Elephas maximus indicus: one gene and its partners. The protein of the gene in region 2 interacts with the protein of the main gene of each other region in a biochemical or structural test. Links are inferred from orthologs where the notes say so. Each region holds a gene or a part of one and is shown on either strand. Other genes may lie near its edges. The genes, in order: LIN9, RB1, BRF1 and EID1.

Region 1 (6,995 bases), on a different chromosome or scaffold from region 2:
TGTGGGGGGGGGAGGGGTGTGCACGGTGCCTGGAAGAGTTGGATTAATTGAAGGCTGAAGTGATCAGATGAGATGGTGACAATTTGGGCTAGGCTGATGGTGAAAAGTAGGTAGATTTGAGAGACATTTAAAAGGTAAAAGTTACAGTAAAGGCTTAAATATGGGAAGTGAAAGGGGGAAGTGCCAAAGATGACCTCTACCAGATAAATAAAAGAGCTTTCATTAAGAGAGAAACCACTAAAATTATCTCTGTCCTGGAGTGGGGTTATGAGTTATATTTTGAACCTGTGAAGTTTGAGGGGCCTTTGAGGCATCTAAGAGAAGATGTGAAATAGGTAACAGATGTTAAGTGCAAGAGCTTAGAGGAAAGATCTGGGCTGAAGATAGCCTCAGTTCCCTCATACAGAAAATCAAACTCTTAAAAAAGTACTTACCTCAAGTGAAATAAGGTTAAACAAATATATGTAAAATGCTTTGCATAGTGTCGGTACCCAGCAAGTACTCAATGGCAGCATTTATTGTTGGTAATTTTATGTTGGTTATTAGCTAATACCTGGTGGTGTAGTGGTTATGAGCTACGGCTGCTAACCAAAAGGTCGGCAGTTCAAATGCACCAGGCGCTCCTTGGAAACCCTAGGAGGCAGTTCTACTCTGTCCAGTAGGGTCCCTATGAATTGGAATGAACTCAGGGGCAATGGTTTTTTTTTTTAAGCTAATATATTTTTTATTAGTCGCCTTGCCTAAACTTGGCAAAGAAACTTGTTATTTCCAGTATCAAACCGAAATCTCTTTTCTTTCTCAAGACCCTGCCCGGTTTCATTAATAATGCCTCTTCATATAAATGAGGTGCTTCTGTATACTTGATTCAGGGCAGTGTGACAAACCAGGTAAGGCAATCCCTGCTTTCAACAAGTTATACAACACATACACACAATATACCAGAGATGTCACAAACTAATAAAAATGATCAGGTCATACAGCTTGAGAGTGGAGCTGCAATCTGTTCCCATAAAGATTGCAGCCTAGAAAACTCTATGAGGCAGTTCTACTCTGTCACATGGGGTCGCAATGAGTCAAAATCAACTAGTCAACTAGATGGCACCTAACAACGACATGACTCCCAGGTTCCTTCAAAGAACAATAGGAAGTCCTCAATAAATATTTGATGATGTAGATGAAGCAAAATATTCCAAATGAGAGGTATACTGAAAGCCACTTACAATACCTCTTATTCAACAGAATGACTACCAAAAAAAGAAAAATTCTAAAAGGGGTAAGTCATCTTTACAGTAAAGATGATGAGGATGGAAAGAAAAAAAAAAAAAAACTTTTTCCAGATAAGAACTAGGTTGTGCTTAGTAGGCCCATTCTTACTTGGTAGCATCCTAAGTCACAATGAACTGTATTCTCCAATCAAGAAACAAAACTCACAAACAGGCTAGAGCTACTATCCACATGTGACTATTTAAGCTTAATTAAACAATTTAAAATTCAGCTCCTCAGTCCCTCTAGCCACATTTCAAGTACTCCATAACCACATGTCACTAGTGGCTACCCTATTGAACATCACAGAATAGAACATTTCCATCACTGAGAAAGTTCTATTGGAACTTAGCGCTGATCTAGAGCAAATTAAAAACACAAACTCTTTTTAATACAACTTTTCACTACAACTTGAGCTTTTTATTTACTTTATAGCGCATTAAGGATATACAACCCCATAAAGAAAACAGAATTGGCTGTATATAGCTCTCATTTTAAGCCTATTTGCCTTTTTCACAAATGATTTTACAGTGATTGAGCCTTCTTTTTATTATACTAAAACTCTGACGAATGATACATACACATAAACTGAATAATGAGTGTGGACTCAGGACCTTTTTTGTACTTTGCTAAAATACTTGCCTTTTTACATAACTTGTGCGATTTTTAAAATTACAAAATGAAGTTCCACTGTGCTTTGAACTATGGAGTTGGTGCTTTTACTTAGTAAACACATGTGAGCTGGTATGTTGCAGAGATCCCATGGATGGCAGAGTAGTCATGGTTAGTGAGCCCTGCACAGGGGCGGGTGTCAGGAAGAGTACTATATGTATGCTGTGTTGGTCACATCCCTGTGTACAAGGTACTCCCATGACTCTTAAGGACACACACACACACACACAGAGGAAAGTCTGTGGGATGGAGGCTACCTGAATGCTTGTGTATCCAGTCTGGATTACCTCTGGAAGGGTCCACAGCCACCTGTGGTCCCAGGGGAAGGGGCTAGCCTCTTGACACGGAAACACTTCTAGAGGTGGACACACCGGTGGGGAGGAGGGACAGGGACGATCACAAGTGCCCATAGAGGCAGGAACTAAGACGGGACAAGATCAGAGGCTGAGGCAAGAAGCCGGGGTTGTGACCACCCCCTCCCGAGCGCGAACCCTCCCCGGCCCCGGGACAGGCGAGTTACATAACCCCGGCAGGCGTCTCTCCGCGCCCGGTGACTGGTGCAGGCGGCGAGGGCAGCCCCCGCGCACCGGGGCCGCTCTTCCTCCACCTCGGCCGGGTGGCCCGAGTCCGGCCAGGGGAGCAGCCGCCGCCTCCTCCCGGCATAGGCTGGACTCCTGAGCTTTCGGTTTCCGGCCCTGGCGCTCACACAACCCCAGAAACCTACACACAGACACCATAACAAAGGCGGCGACACGGCGGCAACACCGGAGTGGAGGGACTAGGAGGACTACGGTGGGGCTGGCAGTCAGTCCCCCCTCCGGCGGAGGGCACGGCGGCCCCTCCTGGCCGGAAAGCTTCGGGGCGGGCGGCCGGGAGGAAGAAGGGGGGGTGTTTTGAGGTGCTACTCACTCTCGTCAGGCAACTGGTCGAGCTCCGCCATCTTGAACGAGCCGCGCCGCTTTTTCAAAGGCTGCCCGCCGCGGTGCATTGTGGGGCGGAGACTGTCTTTGCGAGGGAGGTTCGAATGCGAGCTCGCTGCCCTCGGCGCCGCTCCGCGCTGCTCCCGCCGCGGCGGGCTGAGGTGGGCCGGGCTCCGCCCGCGCCTGCCCCGGGAGGTGGGGCCGCGCCTCGCCCCTCCGCCTGCGCCCCGGGCCGGGCCGGAGGGCGGGAGGAGGGAGATGGCGCGGAGAGGCCCGTCGCGCACCTCCCCTGCCCGGGCCCGGCGCCGGAGCGCGGGGGGAGCAGCGCGAGCTCCCGAGTCCCGCCCGGGCCCCACTCCTGGCCCGCGCCGCCCGCCCCCTCCGGGGCTCGCTCCCGGCGCGCGTTTCTTGTCTCGCGCTGCAGCCGCGGGAACTGCAAGCTGTGTGTTCCAAGGAGGGGAAAGCAAGGGAAGGTGGGAGGGAGGCCCCGGCAGGCTGAGGCGGGGGCCGGGAGGAGGCACCTGTGGGCCTGGCGTGGCCAGAGAAGCCCTTGGTTCTCGGTCACGTTGCCCGAGGGGCTCCACTCGGAGTGTATTTTTCAGAGTTCCCAAAACCCACATTTCTCCTGCGCCTTCATCCACTCTTTTTTACGGAGGAGTGGTTCGTGCACTCAGGCCGCAGCTGCCTCGCAGTGTCCGCCCAGAATTCGGGATCCCTGCGGCCCCCTTCGAGCCGGGGACCTCCTCCCGACTGTTGGAACCTGCGCTGCACGGAGCCTAGGAGAGAGACCTTGAGAGGTCATGAAGTTAATCGTTTAGGCCGGCCCCTACGAATCGTTCTGCTCAGCGCCTTCATCCATTCTGCCCTGGCTCATACAGCGAGCTGGGAGAGAGTTACAACACGAATAACATGAATAACAGGTTTCCTGAGGATACAGACAGAAACCAATAGTGATACTACAAGGTGATGGAGTACCCTGATCAAAACTTGGAGAGACTCCTGGATGAGGATTCACCGTTTTCAAAGAAGCCCAGAGAATGATTTCACAATTCCTGTCTGTAAAACTGTCCAGTGATAAACCACCGCTGCTTTTCAACAATTCGCTTAAATGTTACCGAGCTCCAGTCCTTTCCAGGAACTTCTGGAGGAAGGAGGTTGTGGGGGAGGAAGGGAGACAAACAGTGAAAATACAGGATGGATGAATTCCAGGAAATAAAAAATGGTAGACCAAGATGAGGACCGAATCGTACACAAATGCCAGCCCAGGCTAAGGAGTTGGACTTGCCAAGAGCACTGGAGGCACGCAGAGAAGTCTTTGGTAGCATGGTTCCATTTGTGTTTTAGAACAAAAATATGGAACATGGATTGGCAGGGGACAAGATGAGAGTCCTAGAAACCAGTCAGGAGGAAGCCTGTTGGGGCAGGCACAGGAGAGGAGAGAGATGTCTGTACTAGTGGCTGCACAGGTTTGGAAGGCCTGGGTTGGTATTCCGGCTGCTAGCTGTGTAATCTGGAACCAAGTTTCTTAATTTAGTTCTCCATGCTTCAGTTTCTCATCTGTGAAATGCAGATAATAACAGGGTTGTTGTGAGGGTTAAATGATTTCATAGATGTAAAGCCTTTATAATAGTACGTAGCACTCGTTTTGACTCAAACGTTAGCTACTGCTGCTGCTACCGCTACTACTGAATAGGAAGTATCAACAGAGATGGAGGAACAGGAAGCTTCCACCTCTCAAATTGTTGCCATTAAGTGCCCTTGAGTCGGTTTCCACTCATAGCTACCCTATGCACAACAGAACAAAATCCTGCCCGGTGCTGCGCCACCCTTGCAATTGTTCCTATGCTTGAACCCATTGTTGCAGCCGCGGTGTCAATCAATCTCATTGAGGGTCTTCCTCTTTTTCGCTGACCCTCTGCCAAGCATGTTGTTCTTCTCTGGGGACTAGTCCCTCCTGATAACATATGCAAAGTATGTGATAGGTAGTCCTGCCATCCTTGCTTCTAAGAAGCATTCTGGCTCTTCTTCCGAGACAGATTTGTTCGTTCTTTTGGCAGTCCATGGTGTATTCAGTATTCTTTCTCTAACACCACAAAGTCCTCAGTTCTTCAGTCTTCTTTATTCATTGTCCAGCTTTCTCATGCATATGAGGCAATTGAAAACACTATGGCTTGGGTCAGGTGCACCTTAGTCCTCAAGGTGACCTCTTCCTTTTCAACACATGAAGAGGTCTTTTGCAGCAGATCTGCCCAATGCCTGTTTTGATTTCTTGACAGCTGCTTACATGGGTGTTGCTTGTGGATCCAAGTAAAATGAAATCCTTGACAACCTCCATCTTTTCTCCATTTATCATGATACTGCTTATTGGTCCAGCTGTGAGGATTTTTGTTTTCTTTATGTTGAGGTGTAATCCATACTGAAGGCTGTGGTCTTTGATCTTCATCAGTAAGTACTTCAAGTCCTCTTCACTTTCAGCAAACAAGGTTGTGTCATCTGCCTATTCCAGGTTGTTAATAAGTCTTCCTCCAATCCTGATGTCCTGTTCTTCTTCCTGTAGTCCAGCTTCTCAGATTATTTGCTCAGCATACGGATTGAATAGGTATGGTGAAAGGATACAATGCTGACACACACCTTTCCTGACTTTAAACCATGCAGTATGCCCTTGTTCTGTTCAAATGACTACCTCTTGATCTGTGTACAGATTGCTCGTGAGCACAATTAAGTGTTCTGGAACTCCCATTCTCTGCAATGTTATCCATAATTTGCTATGATCTGCACAGTCTAATGCCTTAGCGTAGTTAATAAAACATAGGTTAACATCCTTCTGGTATTCTCTGCTTTCAGCCAGGATCCGGATATCTGACATCAGCAATGATATCCCTGGTTCCACGTCCTCTTTCGAATCCTGCTTGAATTTCTGGCAGTTCCCTGTCGATATACTGCTGCAGCTGCTTTCGAATGACCTTTAGCAAAATTTTACTTACTTGTTTTGTTATGATGTTAATGATACTGTTTAATAATTTCCACATTTGTTTGGCTCACCTTTCTTGGGAATAGACATAAATATGAATCTCTTCCAGTCAGTGGACCAGGTAGCTGTCTTCCAAATTTCTTGGCATAGCCAAGTGAGTACTTCCATTGCTGCATCCGTTTGTTGAAGCATCTCAAGTGGTATTCTGTCAATTCCTGGAGCCTTGTTTTTCGCCAATGCCTTAAGCTTAGACTTCTTTCTTCAGTACCATTGGTTCCTGCTCCTGTGGTACCTCCTGAAGTGGTTGAATGTTGACCAGTTCTTTTTGACATGGTGACTCTGTGTATTCCTTCCATCTTCTTTTGATGCTTCCTGTGTCATTTAATATTTTCCCTATAGAATCCTTCAGTATTACAACTCAAGGCTTGAACTTTTTCTTCAGTTCTTTCAGCTTGAGAAATGCTGAACGTGTTCCCTTTTGGTTTTCTATCTCCAGGTGTCATGGATTAAGTTGTGTCCCCCAAAAAATATGTGTCAACTTGGTTAGGCCATGATTCCCAGTATTGTGAGGTTGTCCTCCATTTTGTGATTGTAATTTTATGTTAATGCAATTAGAGTGGGATTGATCAGGGGTCACCTCCCTGATCAGTGTAAAGGGAGTTTCCCTGGGGTGTGGCGTGCACCACCTTTTCCCTCTCAAGAGATAAAAGGAAAGGGAAGCAAGCAGAGAGTGGGGGACCTCGTACCACCAAGAAAGCAGCACCAGGAGCAGAGCACCACCTTTGGACCTGGGGTCCCTGTGCTTGAGAAGCTCCTCAACCATGGGAGGATTGAGGACAAGGACCTTCTTCCAGAGCTGACAAAGAAATCCTTTCCCTGGAGCTGATTCCTTGAATTTGGACTTTTAGCCTACTTTACCGTGAGAAAACAAATTTCTCTTTGTTAAAGCCATCCACTTGTGGTATTTCTGTTATGGCAGCACTAGATGACTAAGACACCAGGTCTTTGCCCATGTTATCATAATACTTTACTTTGTCTTCTCGAGCCACCCTTTTAAATCTTCTATTCAGCTCTTTTATTTCATCATTTTTTCATTTTGCATTAGCTATTCAATGTCCAAGAGCAAGTTTCAGAGTTTCTGACATCCATTTAGGTCTTTTGTTTCTCTC
Region 2 (7,772 bases):
AGACCCCATGTGTTACAGAGTAGAACTGCTTCATAGGGTTTTCTTGGCTGCAATCTTTAAGGAAGCAGATTACCAGGCCTGTTTCTTCTGTGGTGGTGCTCCAGGTGGGTTCAAAATGCCAACGTTTTGGTTACTGGCCAACTGGAAACTATCTGTGCCATGCAGGGACCTTTCTAAACAAGAAGTTGGGAGAGAAGTAGCAATTTCCCATACTAACTGCTATACAGTGTTTGTACGTCAATATTTAAAGTTTTTAACATGACAAATGAGTGTGCTTCTTGCTTGTTAAATTACCTAATCTAGGTTTAGATATATCTAGCAGTATATCTAAACTGCTTCTATGTTTTATTCTGATAACACTCAAGTAGAGAAGCCAGTCTCTCAAAGGCATGTTGAAGGGAGTGGAATAAGAGATTTTAAGGCAATTTCAGCAAGTTCAGGACATTCATTTTTAATTTCTATCCAAAATGAAACAAGAGATGCTTTATTTTCAAAATTCATCTCCAGTCCTTCATCAGTAGTGAGTTCCAAAAATTTGCCCTGTAAAGTTACAGTTACATTTAAATTCTGGATCCATGAATTTCCTGTGTGTGGTGATTACTTTGATGGAGAATCAAAATCAAAATGTTTTATCATATTTATGATAATATTTTCTTTATATTTTGTATGTAAATGTCCCTTAAGTTTGATGGATTCATTGCTTCATTAATCAGTCCATGGTTTTAGTACTTAACCAAAAGTTATGGCTACAGACTGAACAGACAGGGGATTATATTTCTGAGTAAAATTAATATAAACTCTTAGCTCTAATTCTTTGGAATGACTTCTCTGATCATTATTTGGTTTACTACTGGTAGTATTAATCCACTAGTGACATCTGTCTTTTCTTGACAAAACAGGCCAATGAGGCTTGTTTCATCATCTACGATTTAGGGTTAAAAATAAATGACACAAATTTTACTTCCCTAATTTAGCTATATATAAATAAAAAAAAGAGGCTTGATTAAAAATTAAAATGACTATAAAAACAACTTATAAAAATGAATAAATATTTACATCTTCATGGATTTTTAACACTTTGGATTACAATTGACAAGCTAACCTTAAAATTTTACTCATCGTAAATGTGGTCCTACTATGCATGACAAGGACACAGCCCTACCACCTGCAACTCACCACATAAATTGGAGAACACCTGAACTGGACTATACTCTTGCTTAGCTATATGCTTAGCAACAGATGTCCAATGATCATGTTCTTGGATGTTGCTGACATGTCAAATTGTCATAAACATTTCTAAGCACTCTTAATTTCTGTATTTATCATCATCTTGTGCAGTAAGGAGCCCTGGTAGCACAGTGGTTAAGAGCTACAGTTGCAAATCAAAAGGTTGACAGTACGAATCCACCAGGTGCTCCTTGGAAACCCTATGGGGCAGTTCTACTCTGTCCTATGGGGTTGCTGTCCATTCAACCAGTTCCTATCCCTTTCTGCCTTCTCATCCTGCCTTCCAACAGGAGCTGCCCATTTAGTCCCATGTATCTACTTGAACTAAGAAGTAAAACTCTTTGAGTATTATTTTATGTTTTATAGTCCGGTCTAATTTTTGTCTGAAGAGTTGGCTTCAAGAATGGTTTTAGTTCAGGGTTAACAGAGAAGTCCAGGGGCCATGGCTTCGGGGGTTCCTCTAGTCTCAGTCAGACCATTAAGTCTGGTCTTTTTATGTGAATCTGAGTTCTACATCTCCTTTTCTCCTGCTCCGTCAGGGACTCTCCATTGTGTTCCCTGTCAGGGCAGTCACTGATGGCAACCAGGCACCATCTAATTCTTCTGATCTAAGGCTGATAAAATCTCTGGTTTATGTGGCCCTTTTGTCCCTTGGGCTAACATTTTCCTTGTACCTTTGGCGTTCTTCATTCTCCTTTGCTCCAGGTGGGTTGGGACCAAATGATGCATCTTAGATGGCTGCTAGCAAGCTTTTAAGATGCCACTCACCGAAGTGGGATGCAGAACATTTTCTTAATAAATTTTGTTATGCCAATTGACCAAGATGTCCCCAGAAACCATGGATCCAGGCCCCTGCCCCTGCTACTCCGTCACTTGAGAAAACTTCTTTTAATAATCTATAGAACCTCTAACACTTCTTTGTAGTACAACAGAAAGCTGTGTAATGATTTTATTTACTCAAGTACTTCTGAGTTGTGTGTGAGGAAATCATATCTTAAAGCTACTCAGAAACATGGTAAAAGGAGTCCAAGGCAAAGATACACATCCTTTTGTAAATGGAGAAACCTCTCTTTGACTTATTATAATTGTGGTAAATCCAGATGTTGATGTAAACTGGGTTTAAATAGAGCAAGTCTACATATGTGGGGAGAGTTTACTTCAGTTCCCAGAACTTCCTTCAGTTCTCCTACCTATGCTCTCCACTCTCATTTTTAACAAATAAGTATCTACTGTGTGTCCAATACTGTGCTCAGTACTAAGGCTACAAAAATGCCTGAGATTTGGTCTCTATCCTGAAGTAATTCACAGCAGAAATATTATCAGTCATGATGCTTTCTGCTGCAAACAATCATGCAATTCAGCTCCAGGGTGTTCAAATCAGAAGCTAAGTTATGTCACCAAGGACCCAGATTATTTTCTTTTGATATTCCTACTGCCCTGTCCCCAGCATTTTTGCCTTATCCTCCGGTCTGCTGCATAGGTCACAATGGCTACAGCAACTACAAGTGTCATATCCTTATGACAACAGCTAAGGAGTAGAAGAGCTGTCATCTCTGTATCCCATTTTATCAGCCTTCCAGAATATTATCACCTTTCATCTTTAAAAGGTCAAACTGTATCCTGATCTGCTGCCTAAACTAGTTGTGGGCAAGATGAATGGGACTACCATTTTAATTGTATTCACTCTCAGTGGCCTGGGCCCTACCTCCTGACAAAGTCTTGGCCCCCAAGGTAGGATCCGGGGGGACTGTGTGTTGGGTAGGCCAATGCTTGCTAACCTTTTTTACATTGTGGCACATGTCATGGTCTACACAGAAAATGATAATCCATTGCACTACTCACTGGGATAAACTCACGAGACTTGCATCTATGACTTACCTGAAGGCTCCTGCTGCCTCACATGCTGCCCAGCTTTCCAAGAATGAGGGAATGTACATCAGAGCACAACTATACTTTATTCAAAGTACTTCAGTTGGGAAGTTCTGAGATGGGCAATCAAAAGTATCTGCCAAAGGAAGAAAAACATGTGCTAAAACTAGAAAATCAATTATAATAAATCAATACCAGGAGACAGAAAAGATACAGCTTCTAAGCCAATGTTTGGCGGCGATACCTCCAGAAAGCTTTTCTTCTGTTGATTTTGTGCCTGTACACATGCTATTTCTCTCTTTTTGGTGTTTTCTTCACCAGTATAATGTAACAGATAAGTCATAGCAAAATTACCTAGGTTCAAGTCCTCTGCTCATCAGATCTGTGATATTGGGAAAATTAATTAAGTCCTCTGAGCCTCATCTGAAAAGTGAATAATACTATCCATTTTAAAAGGTTGTTTCTGAAGATTAAATGAGATAATTATGTAAAGTGGCCAGCACATTTCCTGGGATCCAGCAAGTCTTCCTTAAATTTTAGATCAAGCTGGCAAACTTCTATTCAACTGCTACTTCTCCTCTGAAGATCTCTTTTACACATTTCAATGGTTCCTCCTGACTTTACACCACCATTAAGACTCAAAAAAATTAATTAAAAATAGACATTTTACTTTAAGAAATTTCTCTTACCCACACACACACCCGCAAGTATAAAAATACTTGACCCAAAACTGATCTTGCCTGCAGCTTCACTGGCTTGTTCTTTCACCCCAACTTCAACTTTGCAGCATGGTTAAACTTGTTTATCCCCCCAGCTAGAAGACAGCAGTCAATAAGAAATCAATCACCTTGTGATTTAATGAAAAAGACTGTGTGCTTCCTTGATTTTAATTTCAAGAGCTCTCAACTATAAATATGTAAGTTAACTCAGTAATCATTATTTCATCACAGTGGAAACTTGTATTTATCAAACAAAAATTTTTAAGTCTCTGTGAAATCTCCATTCTCTGGGAGTTTCTTCTTGCAGGAAGAGAATGTTCTCCCAATTTGAAAATTGTTTGTTAAATCATAGACCAATCAAATATTGTTATTCTTTTGAATTGATACAAAATCTTATTTTTAACGTTTATAAACAGTTTATAAACTGTTTACTTGTTCATTACCCACAGCCCCCTCCCTACCCTAACCAGTGATCCCCAAAAGGCCAATAATTGTCCTACATTTTGTTTCCCCCAGTGCTTGGTAAACTGGAGCACCGATTAGGTGTTCCAGAAACGTTTGCTAAAGGGATAATCGGCGGTGTTTTTGTTTTGGTAGACTGGCTTAACGGATTGGGTGGGCGAGGTCTCAGAAGAGGGAGGGTACCGCCCATGGAGAGAGGAGGCGTGACAGTGTAGGGTGCGCTTGCCTGATAGAACTTACAGGACCTGAGTGACAGTCCCTGATCAGACCCAAAGACAGAGATGACAGAGATGGGGCCCAATTTTGCCCCACAGACTCTTTTTGTTGCCCTATTACGGGCACCTCAGCCTGGAAGGAGAGCTACAGGTAGAAACAGGTCCCAGCAGCGGCGGCTACCTCAGGGAGGGCGCCTCCGCCAGGCCTGGTCTCCCGGCCAGCCCCGCTCGTCCCTGCGCCCCCGCCCGCGCGCTGCCAGGCGCCCCGGTGCCCGCCAGACGCCGGCTGGCCCGGGAGCCTCGCGGACGTGACGCCGCGGGCGGAAGTGACGTTTTCCCGCGGTTGGACGCGGCGCTCGGTTGCCGGGCGGGGAGGGCTTGTCCGGTTTTTCTCAGGGGACCTTCAAATTATTTTTGTAACGGGAGTCGAGAGAGGACGGGGCGTGCCCCGACGTGTGCGCGCGTCCCCCGGCCCTGCCCTCCTCCACAGCTCGCTGGCTCCTACCCTGTGAGGGCGTCATGCCGCCCAAAACTCCCCGAAGAGCGGCCGCTGCCGCCGCTGCCGCTGCCGCTGCCGCTGCGGCTGCGGCTGCGGCTGCTGCTGCGGCTGCCGCCGCCTCTGTGGAACCCCCGGCGCCGCCGCCACCGCCCCCTCTCCAGGAGGATCCGGAGCACGACAGTGGCTCCGAGGACCTACCTCTGGCCAGGTGAGTGAGCAGAGCCGCCCCCGCAGAGCGAACGCAGGAAGGGAGCCGAGGGGGCTTCGGGACCGGCGCCGCGGCATCTAGGCGGGGGCGCGTCTTTGCCCCGGATCCCGGTCCCGGCGAAAGAGGGTCCCTCCTTGCCCCCCACCACCGCGGAGGGTCTGGAGGAGGGTGACAGGGCTCCGGGATCCGGAGCGAGGGGAGGACAGCCAGGAGGGGTCGCGGCTCCAGGTTGACAGGTGTTGGGCGGGTGGGGCTCGGTTGGCTGAGCGAAGTGACAGGTGCTAGATCGGAGGCTGGAGGCGGCGGGTCATTTCGAGCTCCCATCAAATGCAAAAAATGACTGACGCGCGTGTGTTGAAGAGGAAGCGAGTTTTGTTCTTGTTAAATTGGTAGTACTCCCGTGCTCTTTGGCTTTCTGTTTGGTCTTCTGCGACGCAAGAGTTCCAAGTGTTCGCTTCTGGGTGTGCACTGCATCCAAAGCCCCATGCTGCGAGAGGCCGACCAGAAACGCCTTGGACGCCGCTGCAGGAGACGCCATCGGACCTTAGCGCAGGGTCCTGGGTGCCGGTTGTCCACAGGGTGCTTTGAGGCCTTGGGGTTCAAAGCCAGCTGTAGTAACTGGCGAAACAGAATGCTTTAGAGGAACTGGGCAAGTTTTGTGAGGCAATTTAGTGTAAGTGCCTAAAAGTTTCTAAACTTCTTTTTTTTCCTTTTGGATAAAACTCCTTGCAGGTTAGTCTGCCTCAGCATGTGCCATTATTTCTTCCATTTTGTTTTTTGACTTTACAATCAGGGATCTTGGTGACGCTTGTTTCTTTGTTTTGTTCTGTTTGTTTTTGGTAAAAAATTGGCGATGCTCTTGTGCTAACATCGAACTTTTTTTTTCCCCCCCTAAGTGAAATCTAAATTTAAGCAAGCCGTGTGGATGCGGTAGAATATGACAAAGAGCTATTTGTTGGATTGCAACATTTTATTTTTCTGGATTGTGATACTTTACGGTTAACTAGCTAAGACTGAAAAGTGCATATTTGTCCTTATTCCTTATTGTCAGCACTGGTTCTCTTTCAGGCTCTTTGTATACAGATCCATCGTAGGGGAATGGGACTGCTTTCTTCCCTCACCATTCCTTCTTCCATTCTGGTCCATCACCAAGTTCTGTTTTACCCTCACTGAATTGTACATATCTTTCCACTTCCCAGCCACTAACAGAGTTCAGGCCAAATTGTAAAAGATTGAAATGACCTGTGGAAGGATATTAAAAATTCATATATTTGAATGAACTGTCATATGGGTTAACTGAAAATCATACCTACTAGTTTAAAAAAAAATCCTTGGGTGGTGCAAACGGTTAATGGCTTGGCTGCTAATCGGATGATTTACTTGCAAAAAATTAGCTGATGAAAATGCTATGGAGCACAGGTCTACTCAGACACACATGCAGTTGCCATGAGTCAGGAAATCGACTTAACAGCTTAGTAAAAAACAAAACAAAAAACAGGCCTGGGGGATGTTTTGGAAGAAGACATCACACTTTAGTTTTTGATTAAACTCTAATGTGCCCAATACCTGAAAACTATTCTTTGGCAAGAGCAGTAGTATTTACTTTAAAAAATTCAGTGTTATCCATATAACTTTGAAAGCATTCTTGATTATTTTGTGATAATTAGAAATATTGAAGTTCTGACCATCACCTGGGAAAAGAAGAAATTTGTTTCTTTCATTCTTTTTTCCCCAACACATTATTTTATATACCTTTAAGTGATGGAATGATAAAAAATTCTTTGGGAACTCAAACCCTTGTACTTCAAAGCCATGCAAAATACAGTCTGCCTTTGATTATCCGTACTCACAATGGATTCCTTAGCATCTTCAATCAGACTCTACAGATTAACAATTTAGCAAGGGTAGGACCACAGCCTGGCAATCTGAGGCTGAGTAACCTGAGGCTGAGTAACCTGCTTAGGGATGGATTCAGGGCTCAGCTCTAACTGCATTCCCAGCAAGAACCATTTCTGCCCAGAGAGTTGAGATCACATTCTGTTGCATTTATCTCTGGCCTAAATGATGTGGTGGAAACCCTGGTGGCCTAGTGATTAAATGCTACAGCTGCTAACCAAAAGTTTGGCAGTTTGAATCCACCAGGCGCTCCTTGGAAACTCTATGGGGCAGTTCTACTCTGTCCTATAGGGTCGCTATGAGTTGGAATCGACTCGATGGCAAAGGGTTTTTAAATGATGAGGCTGGAAGGGAAACTGTCACTAGGAACAGCATACCACCTTCATTGTTGAGGTTATCAGATGTTAATTATGTTTTGAAAAAGGAGCTGGCAGTATAGAGTAGTGGTCAAGAGCGTGGATTATGGAGTTAGACTGTTGGGTTCATATCCTGGCTTACCACTTAGTACTGGCAGTGAGCTCAGGTGAATGCTTTAACTTCTCTGATTTCGTTTATTCTTCGGTAAAACAAGGATGATAAGGGTCCTTACATGGTAAGGCTGATGTGGAAATTCAGTGAAACCATGACATTTAAGGACTTTCTACAGGGTCATAGTAAATACAGGTAGTTCCCAATTT
Region 3 (7,377 bases), on a different chromosome or scaffold from region 2:
ACATCTACAGCTATATCGCATCTGTATCTATATCTATGTATAACCAAATTACAAATACGGGAAAATGCTAAATTTTGATATAGCCGAGCATCACAGATTGAACTGTGTCCCCCAAAATAATGTGTGTCGACTTGGCTAGTCCATGATTCCCAGTATTGTGTGATTGTCCACCATTTTGTCATCTGATGTGATTTTCCTGTGTTGTAAATCCTCTCTCTATGAAGTTAATGAGGTGGGATTAGCAGCAGTTATGTTAATAAGGCACGACTCAATCTACAAGATTAGACAGTGTCTTAAGTCAATCTCTTTTGTGATATAAAAGAGAGAATTGAGCAGAGAGACAGGAGTATCTCATACCACCAAGAAAGCAGCACTGGGAGCATAGGGCATCCTTTGGACCTTGGGTCCCTGAGCTGAGAAGCTCCTCAACTGGGGGAGACTGACCACAAGGACCTTCCCCTAGAGCCAACGGAGAGAGAAAACCTTCCCCTGGAGCTGACACACTGAATTTGGACTTCTAGCCTCCTAGACTGTGAGAGAATAAATTTCTCTTTGTTAAAGCCATCCACTTATGGTATTTCTGTTATAGCAGCACTAGGTGACTGAGACACTGTCCACTTGTGGTATTTATGTTATAGCAGCACTAGGTGACTAAGATACCGTCCACTTGTGGTATTTCTGTTATAGCAGCACTAGGTGACTGAGACACTGTCCACTTGTGGTATTTATGTTATAGCAGCACTAGATAACTAAGATACTAATGATGGTACTTTTGGTGTATAAATGGCATGGGGGCAGCGTCTGACCTCCTCTAACTTCATAAGGGGAAAGGAGAGTCAAGATCAACAGCCCAAGGCTGATTCCTATGAGGTGGAGGTCAGACATGCCTCTTCTCTCTGCCATCTTTACCGATTCTGACACCAACCGTATCCCCCATGGCACACTCTGCTTCTCTGCCGGGTTCAATAATCCATTGCAACACCCACACGGAACTCACAGTAAGTTAGCAGGTTTACTAAGGAAGCGACAGGTTACGGGAACTCACAGACTGTACTCACAGTTAGCGGGTTTACTAGGGAAGCAACAGGTTACGATTCAGGTCCAAGAATCCTCAGCATACAGTTCTTCCTTCAGGACAGACCCTTCTCAGCCGTGCCCGCAGGCAGGCATCCCTCTGGCCCCTTGGCCTCTGCCCTGCTCAAACAAGTGTTACAAAGCTCTTTTAGCTCTGCTGATAAGTATCCCAAGGAATCCCACTCCGCCGGGAACCCTCGTCCTGACGGTGCTCATCTCTGGTTCCTGGGTCAGCAAACCTAGCCCCACCAAGTGCCACGTTACAGGTCTCTCTCTCTCTCTCTCGGTCTGGTTCCAGTAGCTTCTCCTTGCAGTGATCCTAGGTCCAAAGGACTTGCTCCGCTCCTGGCTCTTCTTCCTAGGTGGTGGTGAGATCCTTATTCTGCTCCGGAGTTGGTCCTCTTTTTTTTTTTTTTTTTAATAACTTTTATTAAGCTTCAAGTGAACGTTTACAAATCCAATCAGTCTGTCACATATAAGTTTACATACACCTCACTCCCTACTCCCACTTGCTCTCCCCCTCTTGAGTCATCGGTCCTCTTTTAAGCCTAGCAGGATGGCAAAACTGCCTAATTCCTTTGGTGGGTCACAATTACCCTATTTGCACAGTCCCACCCAGTCACTGGCCACTTGCTATAGAGTTGTTGGAGCCCTGGTGGCACACTGGTTATAAGCTACCTCCTCTGCTTCTTCCTCAAGTGGACCTGGTTGTGAAGCAGAGATGAGGGTCTGTGTTTGGACTCTTCACAGAGATCACAGAGACATGGAAGGTAGCAGCACAGGCCACTTTTGCTGCCTACAACTTCCTCAATGCCTCAGGGGTGAATAGTAACATTTCTTTTCTCTGAGGTCAGAGATTTATTCTGCTCCAGGGTCAGAATCTCCCTTTGAAACTGTTGTTGTTTCTAGCTGCCAGCTCATAGCAACCCCATAACCCCATGTACAGCAGAACAAAACACTGATCCTGTGGCACCCTCATAATTGTTGATAGTGGGTGGGGGTTACAAGACCACAGCGAGAAAGGCCATACAAAAGGGATCTGTCAAACCACATTTGTTATTTTCCTATTTTCCCTCTACTTTAAGGTATGCTGTAAATATTTTACTAAAGAATAAAAAAGAAGAAAAAGCCATTAGTTTAGGCTTATTCAAAGCAGAGAATCTCTCCTGGTTTCAGCCTCCTGGGTGGCATTGCTTGGTTTTATGGCCCACCGGCACACATTTTCTGGCCTCACTTCCTTGCCCACCCAAACCCTGCATGAGGGTGGCTGGGACCTGGCATTAGCAGGGGGCAGAGGCTGCACTCTCAGGAAGGGGCTCAGATGCAGCACCCCCTCGTGACAAATATCCGTTGGGGATTTAAAATATTCTCTTACATTTCATTGTCAAACCTGTCATTTTGTTTTTTGCTTTTAGCTCCTAATGTCACTGGCATTTTTTATTTTTGGACTGCGTGAGGTAAGGATTCAATTTACCCTTCCCCTCCAAATGGAAAGTCAGTGTCCCAACACTATTCAAGAGTATGTCTTTTCCTCCCCGATTTGAGGCCTCCCAATTTCCAGGTGGCGTCCCTGTGTGGTGCAAACAGTGAACATGCTCAGCTGTTAACCGAAAGGTTGAAGGTCCAAGTCTACCCAGAGGCATCTTGGAAGAAAGGCCTGGCAACTTACTTCTGAAAATCAGTCATTGACAACCCTGTGGAGCACAGTTTGACTCTGACACACATGGGGTCGCGATGACTCCACCAAACCCACTGCCATCCGGTCAATTCTGACTCATAGCGACCCCATAGGGCTTCCAAGGAGTAGCTGGTGGATTCAAACTGCTGACCTTCTGGTTAGCGGCCATAGCTTTTAACCACCGCGCCACCAGGGCTCCAATGACTCCATAAAAAAATACCTGGGTTTGTTGCTGGATTCTTTGTTTTACTCTACTTGCCCTGTACAAATACCACGTGCTTTTGATTGCTACCAGGTGACGTATATTTTTTGATATACAGAAGGGCAATTCTCCCCTTCTTGAGTTTTCTCTTTGAGAATATTTTTGACTGTTCTTGGAGATGACCTCTTTCAGATGAATTTATCATCAGTTCATCGAGGTCTTTGAAAAATCCTGTTGACATTATGACGGCTTACATCGATTTTATAAACTGACTTGGGAAGAACTTCCGATGTTATAGCTTTGTTTGGAGCTGGGAAGGGGCGTTTTTCCGATTTTGTCTCATCTTCTGTATGTTCTCTAATGAAGCTTTAGAGACTTAAAAAAATGTAGCTTTGCACACTTCTGTTTGGGTTCATTCCCAGGAACTCCCTGGGTTTTGTGGCTCCTGTGGAAGGAACGCGCAGGTATTTGCGGGCGTGCGTCGAGCAGGGTCCACTCTGGGCAGGTGACCAGGAGCCCGCGAGTCCCAGGTGCAATGCCGGCTCGCTGACCGGGCGGCCGCGCAGGCACCGCCAGGAGGCGCAGGAGCTGCAGCTGCGGGGTGGCGCCCTCGGACCGGGGTCTCCGAGGTCTCCCCGGGGAGGAGCAACTCCCCGGCCCCGCCCACCAGCCCGTCCCGCCCACCTATCCAGGTCCTGCCCACCACGCTCCCGTCCCCGTCAGGCCACGCCCACCACTCCCCTTCCTGGCCCGGTCCCGCCTGTCACTCCAGGGCCCCGCCCGCCACGCTCCGTCCGCCGGCCCCTCCATCACGCCACGCCCCCGTCCAGGCTGCGTCCACAGCGCGCCGCTGGTTTCGGACGGGCCGGGTCCTCACAAGTCCGGCCTGCCACCTCAAGGCCCCGCCCACCACTGGCTCTCCTGTCGTTCAGCTTGCTCGTCACTCAAAGGCCACGCCCACTTCTCCCGACACCCCGTCCCACCCCAAGGCCCCGCCCACCACTATCTGCCCAGTCAAAACCAGGCGCCGCTCCCCAGACTCCGCCCATCCCGCTAAGGTCCCCGCCCACCGCTGTCCACCCGGTCCCAATGAAGTCCCGCCCCCGGAGGCCCCGCCCCGCAGCCCGCCTCCCTCCTTCCCCCAACGCTAGCGCGTCGGCCGCTGGCTCGACTGGCCTGTGGGTCTGAGGCCCGGCGGCCGCGCTCGGGCTCGAAGGTCACGGGTTCGAGTCTTTGTGTCCCCGTCTCGGCCCCCGGCTCCGAGCGCGTCCCCGCCTCCCGGGTGTGGCCGTCTCGGCCCCGGGGCGCGCGGCGAATCTGCCGCTGCGAATCGGCGGGCGCGGCGGCGGCGGCGGCGGCGGCGCGGGAGCCTCGCGAGACTGCCGGGCGTCGGGGGCGCGCGGCGGGCCTGGCGGGCGGCCTGCGGGCGGCGGCGGCGAGCCGGGCTCCGGGGGCTGCCGGCATGACGGGCCGCGTGTGCCGCGGGTGCGGCGGCACCGACATCGAGTTTGACGCGGCGCGCGGGGACGCCGTGTGCACCGGCTGCGGCTCGGTGCTCGAGGACAACATCATCGTGTCCGAGGTGCAGTTCGTGGAGAACAGCGGCGGAGGCTCCTCGGCCGTGGGCCAGTTCGTGTCCCTGGACGGTGCGTCCCGGGCGGGCGGCGGGGCGGCTGGGCAGGGCGGCTGGGCGGCCCCCGAGGCTCCGCGGGACCCCGGACCCGGCCCGCGCGATGGCAGGCCCGACACCCCCGGGCGTCTGCGGGGCACCTGGCGCCGCGAGGGCGCAGCGGCGGCCGGAGGGGCTGCGGGGCGGGGACCCGGGGCGAGGGCCGCGGCCGGAGCGCAGGCGGAGGGGACCGGACGGAGCCGGTCCCAGCGCAGAAGTTGCGCGGACAAGGGGAGCGCGCGCCGCCGGGGGCCGTGACAGTCACGGGGACGGGAGGTGGGGACGACCCGACGGGCAGGCGCACGAGCGGTGCCATGGGCTGGTGGCTGGGAGAAGCTGAGGTACGTGCCCCCAGCGCCGGGAGTGGGACGTGGGTGCGAGGGCACCGCTGCTTTAGGTGAGGAGCCTCCTGGAGCCCGACGCCCCTTGGGCCCTTTAAACCCTATGCTTGTGTAACTCTGGCTTTACAGGAAGAGGAGAAAACTGTGGCCTGGGACACAGTGGATATGAGCCTGTGAGTTTTTTTTTTTAATTGATATACAGTAAAATCGAGTTTATTTTGGTATAGAGTTCCGTGAGTTTTAACACATTTATTTCTAGGTTCTGGTAACCACCGCAATGAGGATAAGGAAAAGTCCCGTCACCCCCACCCCAGCTCCTGCTGTCCCCTTATCGTCTCTCCCTTCTCCAAGCCCTACCCTGATCGGTTCTCCATCCTACAGTTTTGTCTTTTAAATGGAATCAGGCAGCATGCAGTCTTTTGGGATTGGTCTCTTTTACTGAGCCCGGTGCCTTTGAGAGTCACCCAGGTTGTGTGCATCAGCAGTTGGTCCTTTTTGTTTCTGAATAGTAACTTTCGCTGGTGTGAGAATCCTGGGGTGGTCTAAATGGTTAGTGCACGAGGCTGCAAACTGAAAGGCTGGAGGTTCTAGTCCAGAGGTGCCTGGGAAGAAAGGCCTGGCAATCTGTGTATACCTGTATGTAGGTATTTAACTTTACGAGAAACTGTCAAACGTTTCCAAAGTGGTTGTGGCATTTTGCATTCTCACCGGTAGCACTGTTTTTTCCACAGGGTATTGTCAATATTTTTTTGTTTTAGCCATTGTAATGTGTATAGAGGAGCCCTGGTGGTGCAGTGGTTAATAGCTATGGCTGCTAACCAAAAGGTCACCAGTTCAAATCTACCAGCCACTCCTTGGAAACCCTATGAGGCAGTTTTACTCTGTCCTGTAGGGTCACCGTGAGTCAGGATCGACTCGATGGCAACGAGTTCATGTGTATAGGAGCCTGGGTGGTGCAAGTGGTTTGCCATCAAATGCCAACCAAAAGGTTGGTGATTTCAACCCACCCAGCAGCTTCATGGAAGAAAAGGCCTGGTAATATGGTTCGGTGAAGACCAAAACCCTGTGGTGCAGTTCTCCTCTCAACACATGGGGTGGCCATGAGTCGGCCCAACTCGATGGCAGCTAACAGGAGTAGGTGTGTCAGGGGATCCCGTCATGGCTCTGGTGTACATTTCCCTAGCGGCTAGCGATGTCGGCCGTCTTTGCACGTGCTGGTTTATCGTCCCTTCGTGGTTTTGATGAGCATTGGTGGTTCAGTGGTAGAATTCTTGCCTTCCATGTGGGAGACCCGGCCAGGACACCTTATGCACAGCCAGCACCTGTCTGTCAGTGGGGATTTCGTGTTGCTAGGATGCTGAGCAGGTTTCCAGAATGGAGCGCCCAGGCTGATGTGGGCGAGGAAAAAAAGCCTGGCCGTCTGCTTCCAGAAATCAGCTAATGAAAATCCTGTGGATGACAACAGCTCGGTTCACAGCCGATGGTGGGGATGGTGTAGGACTGGGCAGCTCTTTGTTCCGTCGATGGCAGCTAACAGCCACCACCACCGCTATCCTTTTTGGTGAGATGTCTGTTCAAGTCTTTCGCCCATTTTTTAATTGTTTTTTGTTTTCTTAAGGTTGAGTTTTGAGAGTTCTTCATATATTCTAGTTACGAGTTTTTTGTTGGATATGCGGTTTGCAAATCTTAACTGTCTTTTGCAGAGCAGAAGTTTTTAATTTTCATGCAGTCCCATTTTTTTTTTCTTTTATGAATAGCGCTTTTGGTGTCACATCTAAGTAGTCTTTGCTTAAGCCCAAAGTCACAGAGATTTTCTTCTAAAAGTTTTACAGCTTTAAGTTTTACTTTTTTAGATCTATGATCCATTTTGAGTTAATATTTGTATAAGATGTGGGGTGTAGGCTGAGGTTCATTTTTGTCGTATGTTGTTGTTAGTTGGTGTCAAGTTGATTCCATCTCACAGCGACCCCATGTGTGTCGGAGTAGAGCTGCTCCATATGGATGTCCAGTTGTTCCATCATCATCTGTTGAGAAGACTAATTCTTTCTCCATTGGATTACTTTTGTTCCTTTGGTAAAAATCAACGGGCCATATTTGTGGGGGTTTACTTCGGGGCTCTCTACGCTGTTCCATTGCTCAGTGCCAATTCTTTCGTCAGTATTACGCGTCTTGTTTTCTGTACTTTATTTTAGATTTATACCCAACATTTATTTGGAGCTATTGTAAGTGATACTTTTTAAAAATTTCAATTTTCAATTATCTGCTGCTTTTTTTTAGTAGTATATAGAAATAGGTTGATTTTTGTGTGTTGATCTTATTACCCGTGACTTTGCTAAACTTATTAGTTCTTGGAGGTTTTTTTTATTTTAAAATTTTTGATCCCTTGGGAGTTTTCTGTGTAGATAGTCATGTT
Region 4 (7,088 bases), on a different chromosome or scaffold from region 2:
GGCAGCTCTACTCTGTCCTGTAGTGTTGCTAGGAGTCAGAATCGGCTTGAATAGGTTATGGATAGGTGTAGAAAACCCTCCCCAAATCATATTATGCACTCATAAGGTTGTCCGAGTTCCTTCCACCCACTCCGTCCCCCAAATCAGGACCATGGTTTCCTCAGAACACCTTTAATTTCCATTAAATGGCCAATTTATAAGGTACATGCAATTATTACACCCATATTCAGTTAAGGACTTTAAAGTAGAGAAATAACTTACCCAGTTACAGACCCAGTAAGTAGTGGGGCCCAAATTTGAACCAAGTACTCTGATTCCAGTCTGTGAGAACTCCAAAATTTAAAAGAAATGTGATTTTTACACCCCTAAAAGGGGCGTTAAAATGTTGCCATTTTCCATCTTCAGTAAATATTAATCATTTTCAGTGGTCTCTCAGGTTACTTCCTATTTTTAAAACCACTAACCAGTTGCAGAGCCCAGGTCTTTCTTCTTAAGCTGTCTTCAAACTCAACAGGGAATGTGGGTTTTCTCCCCATCCTCCTTGCTCCCTGCTCAGTCTGAGAGGGAAAAAGAAGCATAACCTCCCAGTTCGCACAGCTGTTTTTTCCTGAGCCTTTATTTGGAGGTAAATGCAACTGGCGTTTATTGTGTACTGCCATTCTTTTTTTTTTTTTTCAGAGCACTGTTAATTTATATTGCGTAATCATTTACAGATGCATTTGACTGCAGCTACAGGCTATTTGAGAAAGCAGTGGAAGAGCTGAGAGGCAGCAGGATTAAAATGTATAAACGCCAATGTTTTACCTCCTGTCTGTCCCCTCTCCTTACCCCACCAGGCTACTGTTTGAGTGATCGTGACCATCCTTACTTAATGGTCAGTCTTATATTTTACAGAAAAGAACCCCCTTCCCAAAGAACAGGGTGACTAACATAAATAAAGCCGAGTTGTCCTGTGGTACTGGACGTGCCTTTATCGCTCTAGTGAAGCGGGAACATCAGGTAATTTTACTAGTCATCACAGAGCCTGCTGATCCTGTTTTTACTGGGTGCAGCCTTCTAACAGTTTTTCCTCCTGGAACTTCAGGATCTTAATAAACACAGCAGCATGCTCACTGACACTGCAGGTTTTCCTAGGTTGGCAATACTTAATTTACTCAGTTTGCTTTCCACAACTTAATCTGTGCATCAGGTATCTGAAGCTGGATGCTTTCCCTTATAAATACTGGTTAAATTTAAATCATTAAGTGGTTGCAGTAATTCATACAATAAAAAGTGCAATACTATTAGCCAAACAAAGTACACAGAACAAGAAATTTTATTATCTGGAATGCTGGTGCATTACAAATAACAAGCTTAATTAGAGGAGGAGAGAGAGGGAAACCTCAGATACTGAAGTGGATTTCTGGGCAGGTTTAAAACCTTTAGAAGATTAATAACATAATTGTTCAATTTTTTTAGATGTACAACTTTCCTCTTACGTTACAATTTGCACCCACAGTTCTTATAGTATTAATTTCAACTAAAATCTTTTGCCTGTTAAGTGAGAGAGGAACAAAACAGAAATTTCCCCTGTGTATAAGAGTGTTAGAAATTATTTTTTTGTACTTTCAGTAACATACTGTCTAAAATTGTTAATGAAAGAGGTCTTAATTTTTTACCGTTTAAAGTGGTCACGACATGGATTTTCTTGTATAGACCATCGTAGCTTTATAAATGATCAAGATACATATATAAACAAAATTAAGATGCTCTGGAAACACATTTAAAGATACAGCACATGTGATATTTTTGGATTTGCTCATCTTTTTGAGATACTGAAAACAACTCAATTTATGTTACAGTAATAATTTAGCGTTTGATAACTACGACTTGAATAGGTCACAAAATCAGAATTTTCAAAGTTTTCTCAATAGGCTTCCAGTCCAAATAATTCAAAGACATCTTGTGTCCCACGCTGGACATTTTCGTTGTTCTTTCTCATCAGACAGGTACTATCAGTGGGCTCTTTTACTGGCAGTTCGTCTTGGTCATTCCCTGTTCTTGCAAAGCCATCCCTTGCTGTGCAGCCGATATGAAAGCTATTTTCCCAACACAAGGGAAACAATCTGGATTAATAGCAAAGTCAAAGGCATGGGTGTTTCGGGGCATTCTTGAAAACATTTCTCAACAGTCCGCAGGCCCTTCCTTCTTGGCGATTCTCTTCGTTTCTCACAACTGTGCAGTCACTGTCCTATCCTCTTCTACAAAATGAACACAATGTTTTTTGTTTTTGAAGATCAAGTGTTGCATTGGCACGGAGCTATTTCGAATGAACCCAAAAAATAATGGGATGCTGGGTCTCTCCTCCCTCTTCCACCAGCCTTTGCTTACTCCCTATCGATCATCTCATCACAGCCGAGTTCCTCGGTCAGACGATTGACAACCATCAGGGAAAAGAGCTCTTCGATAAACGCCAACTGATCAAACGGGGTCTTCTCGTACTGCACCTGAAACCCGCCGTCCAGGGCGGCCTCCCTGGCTCCGGACGTTCGCAGGAACAGCTTGTTGGCTTCTTCCAGGGCCGCCGACACCCTGTAGCCGGCACCCCGGAGCTGCTGCTCCTCGGGGTAGTCGTAGTCGTCCTCCCAGTCGTCCAGTTCCTCGCCCTCGTCCCCGCTCTCCCCGTCGGCGGCCGCCGGCCCGGGCTGCTCCCCGCCGCCGCGCCCGCCCGCCAGGCCCGCCGCCCCGGCCATCGGCGGGGCCTCCCCCTCCTCCATCGGGCCTTCCTCCTCCAGCTGCGGCACGGCCCCGGGGCGGGCGGGGCTCGGCGACGGCTCGCGGCTCCCGCTGCCTACCTCCATCTGCGGAGGGTCGCTGTCGCCAGACATCACGTCCATCTGCAGGTCAGGGCTCTCCTCGTACAGCTCGGACAGCTCGGACATCTCCGCCATGATTGCAGCCGCTCACACGCTAGCCAAGCGTCCCCAGCGAGCGCGGAGAGACGCGGCGCTGCGCTTGCGCAAACGCTCTGCGGGTGCGTAGCCCCGTACGCATGCGCGGCTCTGCGGCTGCCGCCTCCGCCTGGGGCGCTGCTGGGGTGGGGGCCGCTGGCGGGTCTTCGGAGACAACGTTGGGAGTCCGAGCGGCCTGACGTCTGCGCGTCGGTGGATTCGAACTTCACACCGAGAGACTGTGCGTGCAGGGGCACGACTGTCTTTGCCCTGCTTAGCCGTTCCGCCGCTTGTGGTGCTGCGGAGTTGAACGCCCCGCTGCCTTCGTGACAGCACTTCACCCTCCTCCCGCTCTTCCCCCCGCTCCTCCGGCGTCTCCTCCTCCCAACCCCCGTCCCCAGGCAATCACAGCTGTTCTCAAGGGTTCGCGGCCTTGGGTTTAAGCGCCACATTTCACACAGACACGCAGACACACAGACACACACCCCGTGGAGTCGATCCGACTCCTACTTCTCCAAGCTAGACTGTATTCTCGACCACTGATCTAGCTTATGTATGCGTTCTGCTTTTCTGTTTTCGTCACTTAAAAATACCTTAAATTCACAAAGAGTAAGTACCTGTGTATTGGGTTTTCCCTAAGTACCACTGAAGAAAAATTCATCGTCGTTTTCTCCAGGAGGTAACTTTCTACGAATATCAATTCGGTGTGTGTTCTTCCAATCCACTTTTTGCATGTATATGGATCTTTATGTCCCTTTGGAGAATATATTATTTTCTATGTGTGTGCGTTTTTACATATTTCACGTAACGTCCTCTAAAAAAGCCTGGACAATTTAGCTTCGTCAGTATGCGTACACATACCACTTTATTTTTGCACAGCATTCTATTGGATAGATATGCTATACTTGACCTAACAATGGGCAAATATTTTTAGATTTTTTAAAATATTATAACCATTTATCCAATGTGCCAGTGTTTCCCTAGAGTCAATACCTAGGAGTGGAAAGGCAGTATTGTAGGGTATGTATAAATCAGTTGCTATAGTAGAGTTGATTTTGATTTGTGGCCGCCCAGTGTGTGTCAGAGTAGACCTGTACTCCACTGAGTTGTTTTTTTTTTTTTTTGATTGTGCTTTAAGTGAAAGTTTACAGCTCAAATTAGTTTCTCATACAAAAATTTATACACACATTGTTCTGTGACCCGTCTAATGTGTCACACACTCCTCCTTGCCACCCCGGCTTTCCTGTGTCCGTTCAACCAGCTGCCATCTCTTTCTGCCTTCTCATCTCGCCTCTGGAAAGGAGTTGCCCGTTTAGTCTCCTGTATCTACTTGAACTAAGAAGCACTTTCTTCACAGCAATCATTTTATGTCCTAGAGTCCAGTCTGATCTTTGCATGAAGGTTTGGCTTCAGGAATGATTTTAGTTCTAGGTTAACAGTCCAGGGGCCCTGTTTTCCGGGGTTCCTCCAGTCTCAGTCAGATCTTTTTAGGTGGATTTGAGTTCAGCACCCTGCCTTTCTCCGGCTCCCTCAGGAACTCTCTGTTGTGTTCCCTGTCAGGGCAGTCATTGGTGGTAACTGGGCACCACCTAGTTCTTCTGGCCTTAGGCTGATAGCATCTCTGGGTTATGTGGCCCTTTTGTCTCTTGGGCTAATATTTTCCTAGTGTCTTTGTTGTTCTTCATCTTTCTTTGCTCTATGTGGGTTGGGATCAATTGATGCATCTTAGATGGCTGCTCATAAGCTTTTAAGACCCCAGACGCCACTCACCAAACTGGAATGCAGAACATTTTCTTAATAAACTTGGTTATGCAACTAGATGTGCCCTGAAACCATGGCCCTACACCCCTGTCCCTGATACTCTCTCCTTCAGAGTGTTGGGTTGTATTCAGGAAACTTCGTAGCTTTTGTTTCAGTCCAGTGTGCTGATTTGCCTTGTATTGTGTGTTGTCCTTCCCTTCAGCTAAGATAATTCTTGTCGGTTTTGGTGGTTTACTATCTAGTTAGTGAATACCTCTCTCCCTCCGCCCCTCCAGCCATCGAAGAATGTTTTCTTCTGTTTAAACCTTTTCTTGGTTTCTTAAAATAGTGGTCTCATACAATATTTGCCCTTTTGTGACTAATTTCACTTAGCATAATACCTTCCAGATTCATCCATATTATGTTTCACAGATCCATCATTGTTCTTTATCGTTGCATGGTATTCCATTGTGTGAATGTGCCATAATTTGATGGGCGCCTAGGTTGTTTCCATCTTTTTGCTATTGTGAACGGTGCTGCAGTGAACACGGGTGTGCATAAATCTATTCCTGTGACAGCTTTTATTTCTCTAGGATATATTCTAAGGAGTGGAATTGCTGGGTTGTATGGTATTTCTAGCTTTTGAAGGAAGCGCCAAATTGATTTTCAAAGTGGTTGTACCATTTTACATTCACACCAGCAGTGTGTAAGTGTTCCAGTCTCTCCACAACCTCTCCAACATTTATTATTTTGCATTTTTTTGAGTTAATGCTAGCCTTGTTGGTATGAGATGGTTTCTCATTGTAGTTTTGATTTGCATTTATCTAATAGTTAATGATCGTGAGCATTTCTTCGTGTATCTGTGAGCTGCCTGAATATCTTCTTTAGTGAAGTGCCTGTTCATATCCTTTGCCCATTTTTTAATTGGGTGATTTGTCTTTTTGTAGTTGAGGTTTTGCAGTATCTTGTAGATTTTAAAGATTAGATGATGATGGGAATTTTCATAGCTGAAAATTTTTTCCCAGTCTGTAGGTAGTCTTTTTATTCTTTTGGTGAAGTCTTTTTTTTCTCAGTTATCTAGTTTTTCTTCTGGTGTTTGTGCATTGCTAGTAATGTTTTATGTTCTGTTTATGTCATGTGCCATGGCTCCTAGCATTGTCCCTATTTTTTTCTTCCGTGATCTTTATCGTTTTAGATTTTATATTTAGGTCTTTGATACATTTCGAGTTAGTTTTTGTGCATGGTGTAAGGTATGAGTCTTGTTTCATTTTTTTGCTGGTGAATATCCAGTTGTGCCAGCACCATTTGTTAAAGAGACTGTGTTTTCCCCATTTAAGGGACTTTGGGCTTTTGTCAAGTTTTAGCTACTCAGAGGTGAAAGAATTTACATCTGGATTCTCAATTCTGTTCCATTGGTCTATGTATCCATTGTTGTACCAGTACCAGGCTGTTTTTACTACCGTGGCGATGTAATAGGTTCTGAAATCAGGTAGTGTGAGGCCTCCCACTTTGTTCTTCTTCTTCAGTAATGCTTTACTTATCCAGGGCCTTTTCCCTTTCCATATAAGGCTGGTGATTTGTTTCTCCATTTCATCAAAAAATGTCGTTGGAATTTGGATGGCAGTTGCATCGTGTTTGTAGATGGCTCTGGGTAGAACTGATGTTTTCACAATATTGAGTCTTCCTATCTATAAGGGTCGCTATGAGTCAGAATCAACTCGAGGGCACTGGATACTGGGTATCTATAAGCAAGGTATGTTTTTCCACTTATATAGGGCTCTTTTGGTTTCTTGCAGTAATGTCTTGTAGTTTTCTTTGTGTAGGTCATTTACTTCTCTCATTAGATTTATTCCTAAGTATTTTATCCTCTTGGGGGCTACTGTAAATAGTATTGATTTGGTGATTTCCTCTTTGAAGTTCTCTTTGTTGATGTAGAGGAATCCAACTTATTTTTGTGTGTTTATCTTGTATCCCAACACTTTGCTGAAGTCTGGTTTTAGTTCCAGTAGTTTTCTTGTGGATTCCTTGGGGTTTTCTGTGTGTACGATCAGATAGTTTTACTTCTTCCTTACCAATTTGGATGCCCTTTATGTCTTTTTCTAGCCTAATTGCTCTGGCTGGGACCTCCAACACAATGGTGAAAAAGAGTGGTGATAAAGGGCATCCTTGTCTGGTTTCATGTTCTCAAGGGGAATGCTTTTATACTGTCTCCATTTAGGATGATGTTGGCTGTTGGCTTTGTATAAATGCCCTTTGTTATGTTGAGGAATTTCCCTTCTGTTCCTGTTTTGCTGAGAGTTTTTATCATGAATGGGTGTTGGACTTTGTCAAATGCCTTTTCTGCATCAATTGATAAGATGATGTGGTTCTTGTCTTTTGTTTTATTTATGTGATGGATTACATTAATTGTTTTTCTAA

What was found.
Region 1: the proteins of RB1 (region 2) and LIN9 form a complex in vitro, tested with the Homo sapiens proteins (2 studies listed by BioGRID). The link is inferred for Elephas maximus indicus from reciprocal best matches to the Homo sapiens genes RB1 and LIN9.
Region 3: the proteins of RB1 (region 2) and BRF1 form a complex in vitro, tested with the Homo sapiens proteins (2 studies listed by BioGRID). The link is inferred for Elephas maximus indicus from reciprocal best matches to the Homo sapiens genes RB1 and BRF1.
Region 4: the proteins of RB1 (region 2) and EID1 form a complex in vitro, tested with the Homo sapiens proteins (5 studies listed by BioGRID). The link is inferred for Elephas maximus indicus from reciprocal best matches to the Homo sapiens genes RB1 and EID1.

Annotation. Positions count from the first base shown.
Region 1 is NC_064842.1:15,977,149-15,984,143, forward strand, and holds the start of LIN9 (protein lin-9 homolog), read right to left. Parts: upstream 3,017-6,995; 5' UTR 2,924-3,016; coding exon 2,845-2,923; intron 1-2,844. UniProt on the Homo sapiens protein: Acts as a tumor suppressor. Inhibits DNA synthesis. Its ability to inhibit oncogenic transformation is mediated through its association with RB1. Plays a role in the expression of genes required for the G1/S transition.
Region 2 is NC_064832.1:30,645,438-30,653,209, reverse strand, and holds the start of RB1 (retinoblastoma-associated protein), read left to right. Parts: upstream 1-4,757; 5' UTR 4,758-5,011; coding exon 5,012-5,199; intron 5,200-7,772. UniProt on the Homo sapiens protein: Tumor suppressor that is a key regulator of the G1/S transition of the cell cycle. The hypophosphorylated form binds transcription regulators of the E2F family, preventing transcription of E2F-responsive genes.
Region 3 is NC_064828.1:119,542,378-119,549,754, reverse strand, and holds the start of BRF1 (transcription factor IIIB 90 kDa subunit), read left to right. Parts: upstream 1-4,366; 5' UTR 4,367-4,416; coding exon 4,417-4,600; intron 4,601-7,377.
Region 4 is NC_064828.1:6,458,839-6,465,926, forward strand, and holds EID1 (EP300-interacting inhibitor of differentiation 1), read right to left. Parts: upstream 3,014-7,088; 5' UTR 2,931-3,013; coding exon 2,367-2,930; 3' UTR 167-2,366; downstream 1-166. UniProt on the Homo sapiens protein: Interacts with RB1 and EP300 and acts as a repressor of MYOD1 transactivation. Inhibits EP300 and CBP histone acetyltransferase activity.